Bombyx mori: one gene and its partner. The protein of the gene in region 2 interacts with the protein of the main gene of each other region in a pairwise test. Links are inferred from orthologs where the notes say so. Each region holds a gene or a part of one and is shown on either strand. Other genes may lie near its edges.

The links.
Region 1: the proteins of vacuolar protein sorting-associated protein 51 homolog (region 2) and exocyst complex component 7 interact in a two-hybrid assay, tested with the Drosophila melanogaster proteins (2 studies listed by BioGRID). The link is inferred for Bombyx mori from reciprocal best matches to the Drosophila melanogaster genes Vps51 and Exo70.

The regions. Positions count from the first base shown.
Region 1 is NC_085119.1:1,167,495-1,173,529, reverse strand, and holds the end of exocyst complex component 7, read right to left. Parts: intron 5,015-6,035; coding exon 4,908-5,014; intron 3,385-4,907; coding exon 3,288-3,384; intron 2,946-3,287; coding exon 2,751-2,945; intron 2,563-2,750; coding exon 2,521-2,562; 3' UTR 1,630-2,520; downstream 1-1,629. Other genes in the region: uncharacterized protein LOC101741349, read left to right, coding at 1,567-1,629. UniProt on the Drosophila melanogaster protein: Required for exocytosis. Thought to function in intracellular vesicle targeting and docking before SNARE complex formation.
Region 2 is NC_085115.1:1,407,331-1,413,874, forward strand, and holds vacuolar protein sorting-associated protein 51 homolog, read right to left. Parts: upstream 4,028-6,544; 5' UTR 3,658-4,027; coding exon 1,558-3,657; 3' UTR 1,226-1,557; downstream 1-1,225. Other genes in the region: uncharacterized protein LOC101737848, read left to right, coding at 4,820-4,994. UniProt on the Drosophila melanogaster protein: May act as a component of the GARP complex that is involved in retrograde transport from early and late endosomes to the trans-Golgi network (TGN).

The sequences.
Region 1 (6,035 bases), on a different chromosome or scaffold from region 2:
ATGTCTGTTTGTTTCGGTTAATCTCCGCTATCGTTAGTCCGATTTTGAAGAGTGTAACTGGCAGATAACTGATATTATAAGAAGTAACTTAGGCTGTTATTTAAAAAAAAAAGGAGGGTACCGCGTAAAAGAACAAATTGTCAAATTGTAATCAAATTGTAAATTGTCTATATTCAGACAAAACTGTACCTAAGCGAGGACGAGCTTAACTAGTTCGTAATTATATTAAAACCAATTATATGTTCATTTTGCATCGTTGAAGTCCTACGTACCTGAACTTTCACTTGAAATTCTGAAGTCTAATGAAGACCGGTATTTTAATGCATTCTTCGCGGCCGTGCAAATGGGTTTAGTCAGTTAAGGTAGTTCAAAAAAGTAGACATTAAAATATATATGTAGCATATGTAATATTAATATGTAACATAGCAATATAATGCATACAGTAAACATTATTAAAATTCCTAATGGACAAGTAATTTCAATAGTTTGCTTGACTTTCATTGCTTCTACTAACTTTCGTTATCCATACTAACATCTTCAAGTGAATCACGACTAAGTACCCTCTGTAATAAGACGGCCGTGTTATGTAAATGCATATCGAGGGGTGAAAGGCTAATTGGTTAAGCGACATTTTACTTAATACGCGACATTTATCTCTGTAATGAAAGGTGCGTTTTATTCGGTATTATTAGCATTAACAGTTCGATGTTATTAATTGAAACTCAACTAAGCTAACTCCAATCAAATAGCTGAAGAAGTATTTTTGATTCTTACGCGTTGGGGTTCGAGATAAATAAAAACTCTACCGACGTACAAATTAAAAATCTATTTAACACTTAGATCACTCACAGAACACTTTACAAGTCGTAGTTCACTTCTTCCGCTTCGCTTCAGGTGATCCGTTCGCTGTTTCGCTTCGAGTAGTTAAGATTACTAACTGCCTTCGTGTCATCTCTGCAACGCTTTCATAGTCGATACGACATCCCTAGATTTATCGAGAATATTCTGGGGAAGTCGAGTAGCTTTAATGTGTGTTTCCGCTATCTAACAATAGATGGCGTTGTACTTCTCGAGCGTTCTCGGTGTTACTAGTTCCTATGGTAATCCTTTCTGCTATTCGGCGATAGATAGCGTTACTCTTACCGACGTAACATTGTTAATTTCCTAAATTTAAACATAAAATGGCGCTCCTGTCAAGTTGCAAAAATGTCCCTTAAACCCAATAGCAATTCATCCCTCTATATGTTATATTGACAATGACGTCACAGTTAGTGTCGCATCGGAACAGATATATGGAATGAGTCGAATAGCTTCACAAGAAGACAATCCGTGCACAAGGACCTCACTATCGCCGTCTCATTTAGATGTTCATACTACAAGTATGGATTGATGCGGCATAATGGTAGCACCGTCCAGACAAGAATATACTAGGCAGCCTTAACCTGACCTATGATGTCATATGTCAACTAATCCAAGGACATTTTTTTTAAATTGACAAATATTACTTAGTTATTAACGTTTCTTATGTATATATTTCGTGAGACTTACTAAAGATCTTTGTTACAGTGGCCGAAGAAAAAAAGGAATAGGTCTCAAAGGAAAAAGAAAACGCCAAAAACTGATTATTAGTTATTTATTTCAATAAAAAAAAAATTATATAAAATTGACATGTTGAAGTGTTGTATTATAATGAATAAACGAATGATTGTTTATACACCGCTTGGTTTTCAATTATCAAAATTAAATTAACAGGTGATACAGGAAACGTAACCGTCTGCATGTATGCTCCTTAAGAATTCTAGATTCCCTCGGACTGATGAAATTTATTTTCTCTTACAATTTTGATTTCAGTTTTTATACAGTGAATATTATGATTTTTTTTATTGCCCTTGTAGGCAGACGAGCACACGGCCCACCTGATGGTGAGTGGTTTCCGTCGCCCATGGACTTCAGCAATGCCAGGGGCAGAGCCAAGCCGCTGCCTACCGCTGAAAATGTAATGATTTATCTGCAACCACGAGGAAAAACTAAGTCGATCAAGTAAATGACTTAGTTGAATGTATGCAGGTCGCGAGCGGGTGGTTGTCGAAGCTCATCGGCGTCGGCCGCCCCCTTGAGGCGTGAGGTCTGAGTCTCAACTGTTTGTGTGTAACGGCTGTCGCTCCCTTCGGATCCGAATACAGTTAGAATACGCTTAGTGCGAGTTTTTTAACTTCTCGATCACGTAAAAGTTAATTCAAATTTGTATCGTGTTGTAATCTTAATTTTTTAATTAAAATTTAATTAATTTATTGTACCTAAAATTACATTAGTTTATTAATTTAATCAAAACCACGTTTAATTAATGATTGCGTGGGCCGTCGGAATATTGGAGACACAGTTTTCAACGAATATACGAATATACCCGTCTGAGGATCTACAGCCGACACGTATAGTAAGTGATGAACAGTAATACGTGGTAATAATAATACGTAGTGTAATAGTAGTATTGATATAACATGATGGAACACATGTACAACACTAAGCAGCCTCATCGAAGTACCCGTCCAGCTGGGTGGCGATCTGGAATACAACAGTAAGTTATCAACAGATGTCGCTGCACGTAAATTCAACAATTCCTGAATCGCGGTGACGAGATGTTACAGAAATAGGCCGGGTGGTGCTACCTACCCGCACGGACCCACAATAGGTCCTACCACCAGTAAATATTTGAGTCCCCGGCCCGAAAAAAAAAATAGGAGGTGACGTACCTGCAGCGGCGTGTACTTGACGTACTTGTCGGGGTTCTTGGAGAAGGGCAGCGCGGCGGCGGCGTCGTAGAAGGCCGTGTAGGGCGGCAGCAGCGCCTGCTTGTTGTCGCGCTTCAGGGCCTCCCGCAGCTCGGCGTCGGGCACGCTGTACCCGCGCTGCAGCCGCGTGCACTCCTCCCACTCGCGGTTGAAACACTGCTCGTAGACAATATAGATAAGCTATTCAAACGCTCAACAAACATGTTTACGGGCGTCGGCCACTAGATAGCTTCGCTTCGATTACTGATGGTAGGATCTCTTGTGAGTCCGCACGGGTAGGTACCACCACCCTGCCTATTTCTGTCGTGAAGCAGTAATGCGTTTCGGTTTGAAGGGTGGGGCCGCCTTTGGAACTATACTGAGATCTTAGAACTTATATCTCAAGGTGGGTGGCGCATTTATGTTGTAGATGTCCATGAGCTCCAGTAACCATTTAACACCGGGTGGGCTGTGAGCTCGTCCACCATCTAAGCAAAAAAAAACCTCAGAGCTACTTACCGAAAATTTGTCTTTGAGCATTTGCCGGTCCCTGTCCCTGAGTTTGGCGGGGAGGGGCTCGTCCAGCTGCACGTAGGACAGCAACTTGTTCCAGCTGCTGGCCAACACGCATTGTTCGAGAGAGACCGCCTTTTTTTTTCTACCTGAGCTGAGAGCCTTGAGAGACTATATCAGCGTAGCCTTAACTAGTAGGTGAGCTCACGGAGTTCAAACCTGATGGCATTGCTAACACGAGCCTTAACAAGAGCCGTACTCCACAGAACCTACCACCGGTTCGCGGAAACGCGACCCTCTGAGAAGATCTTGCGAGAAACTCAGTGGGCTGTGACTGTGGGTTAATTTACTCGTCGAGCCCTTCGTCGCAAGCGACGGGTTCGACGAGAACTATGACCGGGAGACCACCTCCGACTCCTTCATAGCTCAACAACGGACGCGTGATAGGACAACCGCATCATGTCTATAGGCGAGTGGGTGACATTCCCTTTCTTGTGTCTATGGCCACCATGACCTTGGCCCGTCTACAGTGTCTACTGGAGGTATATCCTTTTCTATCCTAATATTAGAATAGTTAACTGACTTTTTGGCGGGAACGCAAGGAGTGAAGTTGTGTGATTTATTTTGTCTATTTAGTGTTTCTTCGGGTATAAATGTGTAATAACGGTGGTTTATTAACTGTTTAATATCTGTGAAAGTGCACAAATGTGGGAAAATGAAACAAAGCCGCCGGACGAAACTTCTCGGGTTCCTCCAAAAAGTCCACTGAAAAAATCTCAGTAAATGACCACTATTTTACTGAGATGGTATTTCATCTCGTTTCATTTAATTTAATCTCATTTGATTAATGTCTCAAATTAATCATCTTCATTTCATTTCATTTCACTTCATATTATCATTTTTCATAAAAATAAGAATGTAAATGAAAATAAGAAATGACTTAAAGGTCTTAGTTACCAGGTCATAAAATCCCATAAAAAAAAGAATAGTTAACTTGTTAAATAGTTGACTGGAAGAACTAATTGCAAGAAAGCTCCTTGCGTTTATGTCAGCCTGGTAATTCCAATGATGTATAAAGGCGTTACTTCATTCTATTTACACGAGCAGACAGGTCATCCGACAATAAGCAAGTGATCTTAGGGCCAAAGAAGCGTGCACTTTTAATGGCAAGTGGGACTATGACCTCAAAGTAATTGTACTTTGAGACATGAGGTCGAAGTTTCTAGTATGACTTACAACAGAAACAGAACTATAGTACTCTTAGTTCGCTAGACTGTGATCGTACGAAAGCTGACAGTGTCAGTGGGCTGTCGATACACGGCTTTTACTAGGTTAAATTATCGTCTTTTTACCGAAGATTGTTGTAGATATCATTTTCTTTTATTCCACTTCCGTGAAGACGGAAAGTATAGCTCTCTCTTTCTCTACCTCATATTTCTCTAATATCAATTTTCGTCTACTTATCGACACCATCCTTTGGCATGTCTACCACGAAGCCATCCTACGTATCGACCTGAGGGGTCATACAAGCTCGCGACTCAAACGGGGCCGTTTACAGCGCGATAACGAATATTAGGAATGATTGGCTAGGGTGAGGTTATCGTGTCCCTGGGCCGCGGCGGGTACCTCTGCAGGTAGGCGCTCTTGTGCTCCTGCAGCATATCCCGGTAGTTGGCCTCGCAGTCCGGCTCCGCCAGGCACAGGATCTCCAGCAGCCCGGTGCGCTGCAAGCCCTGTGAGGACAACTGTGTGCTTAGTGCAAGTTTTTTAACGTTCTCGATAGCGTAAAAGTTAACCCAATTTTGTATGCAGTTGGAACAGCGCCCCTAGCGGCAAACGTAGGCAAACGATCCCATTCCAGCACACTGGTCGTTAGACTCTATCACAATTAACACTATTGTACTAGTAAGTAGTACTACTTACGAAAACAGACCTAAAACCTGTTTAGGGGATGTACTATTTTTTATTGCTTAGGTGAATGGACGAGCTCACGGCCGACCTGGTGTTAAGCGGTTATCGGAGCCCATAGATGTGACACCCACTATGAGATATGAGTTCTAAGGTCTCAGTATAGTTACAACGGCTGCCCCAACCTTCAAACCGAACCGTATTACTGCTTTACGGCAGAAATAGGTAGGGTGGTGGTACCTACCCGTGCGGACTCACAAGAGGTTTTACCACCAGTAAAAGTATACTGAACAATGACGTCAATTTACAAATACGCAATGGAAATACAACACCATAACTCGCTTTGCGGGTAAACGCATATTCTTTTCCCTTAGTTTTATTACCAAAGAACAAGGTAAAGATCTGAACTCCAAAAACTGTCCAACGCGCCGTACCAACAATATTGAAGATGTCACTGATAATGTCGTATTGAACGGAGTCGTACCCGCTTCAGCACTCGACAATCGAAATTCTCGACTATATTCATTGCCACCTTAAGGTTTACATTCATTTTATTAAGCTATCGCATAGCTTTTATCGGGGGCTTTGAGCGCGGCGATCGAATCAAAAAATTCCGTAACGAAAATAAAACCTAACGCCCCCCACTCCGCCTACCATGTAGCTCGCGTTCACACGTTGCGCTTTTTTTTTTTTTTTTTATTGCTTAGATGGATGGACGAGCTCACAGCCCACCTGATGTTAAGTGGTTACTGGAACCCATAGACATTTACAACGTAAATGCGCCACCCACCTCGAGATATAAGTTCTAAGGTCTCAGTATAGTTACAACGGCTGCCCCACCCTTCA
Region 2 (6,544 bases):
ATCATTTGTAACAAATACTTTATGCGTCCAGACAGGACTAGCGTTTACTTGTCTGTTTGTAAATGAGAAGTTTATATATTATAGCAATTATATTTTGTCAATTTGTTGTAGAGGTTATATTATATGTGTAAGATTAATTATTATATTTCTGATAAAATATTGGAAACATTTTCAGTTTTAAATTGTATTTTGGGATACTTGTCTAGTAATAGTCTAATTAAATCGTTTTCTAGGTCAGACGAAGATGTGTAGGACAATGTTAAATTTCTTTTTGTGAGCTTATTTTTTCAGAAGTCGTATGCTACGAAATTTGTTTTTAATATAGCCGTACCGGGTGTAAGGCTCCCGACAACAAAGACAGGTGGTGACTGATGATTCCTGAATAAGAAGTGTGGATATAAAATTAGCTAAGGCCACAATATCGTGATCATGTGCAGAACTTGTTCTAGTACATGCAGGATTTACTAGAATATACTAGACGGAACATACTAGAATTCGCATACAGAAACTACAAGTATTTACATATAGCTGAGCAAAATTGTACCATAATTATTTTTACACTAGCGTATTATAATGAAGTACAGGGGCAGTGCCCGCTAATTAATATCCTTAAATTATGCATATTTTTCGTGTGCTAAAGTTTCCTTTTCTAAATCGGGATTCTTACACTCTATATGTAAACAGATTAAATATTATTTACTATCCACTGAGACTTTCTGATCCAATTCATTAGGAAATAGTGAATCTATTGCAATAGTAAATTTCACGGTCTAGTTGTATCCATCAATTAACATCAACATGATTTTAACTTCAAATCATTATATCTTCAATACGTCACCTGTTTATAGATTCAAGATTAAGGATGAAATATCTGTTGTTGCCAATAACTATCATTACCTACTTATCTTTTTTTTTCTTAATTAATACATCAACCTTGATCATTTACCACTACGATGAACTAATCTAAATGCGATGATCATCATAATTTTTTTAGTGAACTAGGACCAAAATATATAAATAATGTCTGTTTTGAATAGTATATTAAAATGTTTTTAATTTTAATGATGTTTATCTACGTGACTAACAAAAATGCAAAAAACAGAGTAGCAGTCTTGTGAGATTTATGTTTTAGAAGCATTTAACATGAAATTTTATAAATGTAGATGATATTATTTTTAATATGATGCAATTTTGATTAATGGGTTATAAATAAAACTACTAAAAGTATAAATAATTGTTTGTTTATTTAATACTAGCGACCCGCCCTCGCTTCGCTTCGGAAACATTAAAACACACATGAAACCAAAAAAAAAAAAAAAAAGTAGCCTATGTTCATCAGGGACAATGTCGGCTTCTAATGGAAAAAGAATTTTTCAAATCGGTCCAGTAGTTTCGGAGCCTATTCGAAAGAAACAAACAAACAAATCTTTCCTCTTTATAATATTAGTATAGATAGTATAGATTTAAGATTGGTATTTAAGTCCCTAGACTAATCTAAATTTGAATCATATGATAATTAAGCCAGTTTTATCAATACAAGCATCATGTTCTTCTCCTTCAACCTCTTTCACAAATAATATCTACAATACTAGGTTCCATTAGTTGTGGGTCAACGCATCTCAACTGTGCTGATGCTAAAGCATCTTCAAGCAAAGCATTTAGAAGCCTCTCATCATTGCCCATACATGAAAGCCTTTGCTGTAGAAAGTGAACATCAACTTGTAATTGCTGTAGGCCATGCCTTCCAAATGTGCGTAGGCGCACACATTCAACTAATGCTTTCAAAGCTACTTTTAGGGCACCATTTGATAGTGCAGCTCTGTCTGCCCCTGCAGGACTAAACACTTCAATTCTTTCAGAGAATATCCTATTAAGAGGTGAAAAAGAAGAAGGAGCACGTGACCAAATAGTACGCCGACTGGAGTCACTAGAAGGTTTAATACTAGTTGGAAACAGTTGAGATGCAGCACCATCAGCACTAGCTAAGGTCTCCACTACTCTTCTGCATACTGCTCTTGGCCCCCTTGGTTCTGGAGCTCGCAACCAATCTCTAGCTAATACAGATACTCTCAACATTTGGGCTGCAGTCTGGCCAATAAATACAACTTCTGAATCTAGTGCAGTCTGCGCTGCAGTAGATAAGTGGACCATGACACTACTAGTATCCTTGTTATCCACAGTGAGGCCAGGAGCAGCCTCTTCTAAGAGTTTGAGAAGATGGTTCTGTAATGTCGAGACACCAGTCTCTTGCATATCCAAACATAGCTTAGCTAGTATAAGTAGCAATTCAAAAGGAATGTTGTTATTTGAAGTCTGAAGGCAAGCCATCTTTTTTACCAGATCAGAAAGATTAGCCATAGTTTCATTTATGACTTTTGAGCAAGCATCAGCTACTGCTTTTGCACACCAAGGTTTTAATCCAAATGATAAATTATTTTGTAAGAATGCCATTAGATCTAAGAGTGAGGCTTGGATTTTTTGCATCAGATATACTTGAAGGGAGTTCAGTATATCTTTTAAGTCAATTGTTTCTGATCCTTTACTGGCCAAAGACTGCCTTACTTTCATAAGACTGTCTTTAAATTGAGTCTGTATGCTCTGGTACTGTACCATAGCCTTGTGATTTATACACTGAATGACAACCTCAGTGCCTTTACTGGACATCATATCACTTGATGATATTTCGGTCATAGCCTGGAGTTTTCTGAAGAATTTATCAAGGCCCCTTATTAACATTTCAGTTCCGTTGTTCTCAGGTCTTTTAATGACCTCTTCGAATAAATGAAAAATTTGAATCATTATTTTATCAGCAAATTCGGGTATGATAGCTTCCTGTTCGAACATTTCATTGTAACATGATATTATAATAGCTAAATCAGCCAACAATGTATTATTGCATTTTTCTACCCAGTCCAAAATGTCTGTATGTTCAGCTATAGAACTGAGCATCTGCAAGTGTTTGTCAAGACGACTCTCTGCACAACTAAGGAATATATCTTGTAAGGATGAATCACTTTCTTGGAGCTGCCTTAAAAGGGCTACACTTTCAGCAAGTTCAGTTGCAGATGTATTAGGACTGATAAGTCTTTCACGGAGTGTCTTCTTCAGTTCAAATATAATTTCTGAACACTCAGTCTGTATGCTTTGGAATGAAGGCTGATTGCCATATTTTTGGAGTACTCGCTGAGCATGTGAATAGTCTTGTACAGCATCACTGTATCTGCCTTCTGCTATTGCTTTGTTAAGTTGAGAAGGTAGAAGGAAAAGGAACTGAAGTTTATCTAACAGCTGTCTTGTACCACACAAACGTCGAACATTATTACCGCTGCCTTGGAGATTTTCAGATATTTGAGAGCTGAATGTAGTTATTTTATTGATATTCTCGCTAAGTTTATTCATTTCTTCTTGCATTATTTTAAAATCGGAACGCATTTTGCGTACAGTTTCGGTCGCCGAAATAAATTTATTATAATTTTCATAAACCAATGTCTGCATTTCTGATTGTAGAAATTGACTTTGAGTTACAATTTCCGCTTCTTTGTCCATTACTTGCTTTAGGGTAGCGCATTTTAGAAGACAATCTAAGTAGACGTCTGGGCTGAAACTACTGCTGTCGATGTCCAGAGGATTTTCTTTAACCGCTTTGGCTTCCTCCATATTATGTACTTTGTTCAATAGGTATAAAAGTGATTCGTTTAAAGCTAATCTCCTTAATAAAATATATTTGCGGTTTATTGGTTCGTCTGCAATTCTAATTTACCAAAGAGAATAACTATTTAGAAACACAACATTTCAGCTGCGAGGACTGACGTCGATAAGACCTTATGAGAATGAGAACAATTATGTTTATTTATACTATTTCCTACTTTACTAATACTCCGTCTTATAAATGCAGTTTTAGAATAAACATTAAAGCTTATATATTTTATTTCTGTATATACAATAATGAACATATGTATACATTGTATACTATACATACATATAGGTATGTACGTTTGATAATATTTCCCCATTTTTTTAAATAATTTTTTCTGGCTTGGAAACAAAGTCTTTTAAGCCAAATTAGCTTTTATTATTAAAATTTATGCAAGGTAATCTTTATCATACGTACTGCTATGTACTGCGTTTTTTGAATATTTTATGACTGGCCTGGTAACAAGACCTTTAAGCGAAGTACTCAGTACTTACTAGTCCACTGAGTTTCTCGCCGGATCTTCTCAATGGGTCGCGTTTCTGATTTGGTGGTAGATTTTGCAAAGCACTGCTCTTGCTAGGGCCAGTGTTAGCAACAGTTTGAACCGGTTTGAACCCTGTGAGCTCACCACGTCAAGGCGAAGCTGAAATAGCCTCTCAAAGCTATCAGCATTGGTAGGGAAAAGTACTTATATTCATTTTAATTATATTACTTATGAGCATACACGGGTAATGCACTAAATATAGAAAAGAACCACGGGTACTGTATTATTTCCTATGGTAGTTCAGAAGATCCATGGTGGAACATCCACGCAGCCTTCCTCTTCTTCTTATTACGTTATCTCATGTTATTGCCCTTATCTCACTTCTTTTAATTCTCTTTTAATTCTTTTAATATATCCCATCGCTCCTTTTGAGTTTTCTGACAACAGCCAGCCTTTCATAACAAAATATTTGGTTGTATAGTCAAATATATCTTTGCCTATAATAACGAATCAACCAAAAAAATATATTTTGAAGTTTGTGTGTTTAAATTTGAAAACTTTCTGTTGCGAATTGTTTTGTGATTTTTTTGCTAAAATACTTCTCATATACAATAGAAAACTTGGGAGCAAAAAACGTAAGGATGGCTCCTCGAGATGTCCCCAAACCTACGCCTAAAGTGCAACGAATTGTAGGGAAGACTAATCAGACTAAAGGACGCGCTTCGCCTGCGTCTGTTAAGAAAACGATGTCGTCTATCAAAAAGGCGACTGACAAGATACCTTTAAAATGTAAGATTCCATTTTTACACTCTCGAGGTGAATCTATTCAATATCTCTTCCTTAGGCTTGAGGTTTGAATTTCCAAAGATTTCTCAACGGATGTTCTTCAATTCCGAGAGCCGTAGGCCTTTAATTAAAATTTTTTTTTTTAAATCTCGTTTAAAGTTTTCATTTTATTATTTCCGACTTTTAGTGATCACAAACGGCTTATGTATTATTCGCCAACATTTGCATATTGCTCTAAGAACGATCTTATCAAGAGAATCAAACTTGAAATCCTTAAAATGCAAATTGTAGTTCCTATTTACATCCGAGGACGTCGTGTATTAAAACCAAATAACATAAGTAGCAACTGAAAAATTCAATAACTACTGTGATATCTTGGAAATTTGTGTCCTAAGGAAAGCACTAAATTTGTCAAAGTCATATGGAATGGAAATGAAATAAATAAAAACAAATAAATAATTTCTAAGGCAAGGCTGAAAAGGCACTTAGAATACCTGACTTAAAAACTTTAAAGTCAGGTATTTCTAAGTGCCTTTTTCCTTATATTTATTTTTGAATAGACTCTAATGAAGGCTTCATGCCTCCAAGTGGTCTCTGAGCTCTTACACCCAATATATAATATGTAAAAAAAAAACTAGTAATTACAGTCAAAATTTGTTATAACGACGTCGAAGGGACTGCTTATATTCAGTCGTAAAAACCGATAGTCATAACAACTGGTGATGTTTAATGTGTATCGTGCAAGTACAAACAAATTGATAGGGAATTATTGGAAAAATATATTTATTCAACTATGTACATAAGTACAATGCTATTTTTCTGTGAGCATAAAATCTGCAATTTTGGTCTGTTTGGAACACTTCTGCTGTGCATAGATATTTTGTAATTCACGTTGGATTTTAATTAACGTATCGTCATAATTGCTGTGGATGTGTTCATTAAAAAGAACAATCTTTCTTAATACACTAACAGCATTGATACCATCATTCAAAGTTGGTACAGTAAATTGTTCTTCAGAGTCTTCCTGTTCGTCATCTTCTTCTTTAACATTTCGTATAATATCATCTTCTGTAGCTCGTGCGCAAATTGCAATAGAGTTATCTACATCAATGAACTCTGCTGCTTCAGTAATAGATAAAGCAGGTCGTAAATTTTGGGCTAATTGAGCAACAGAAATATTGTCCTCTCCATCATCATCAGTCACATCATCTGAGGTTATTGTTAAGAGGTCTTTAAAACCAGCATGCTTAAAGCAGTTAGCTATAGTGTTTTGTGAAACGTTTTCCCATGCTTCTGATATCATCAAGATGGCATCAAGAACCGTAAAGCTTTTTTGGTCGCTACTGTCAAGGTTTTGTAATAACTTTAACACTTGCAGTCTTCTATAGTGAGATTTTAAACACCTTATTACACCTTGTTGCAATACAGATGTAACATTTGGTGGTAAGAACACAAGTTTAATGCATTTTAGATTAGTAACAGCTGAATGAGCAGGACAGTTATCAACCAAAAGTAGAACTTTCTGTTTGTTTCCCTTCAATTCAGCGTCCCAGTTTCTTAACCATCTCTCAAAAATGTCC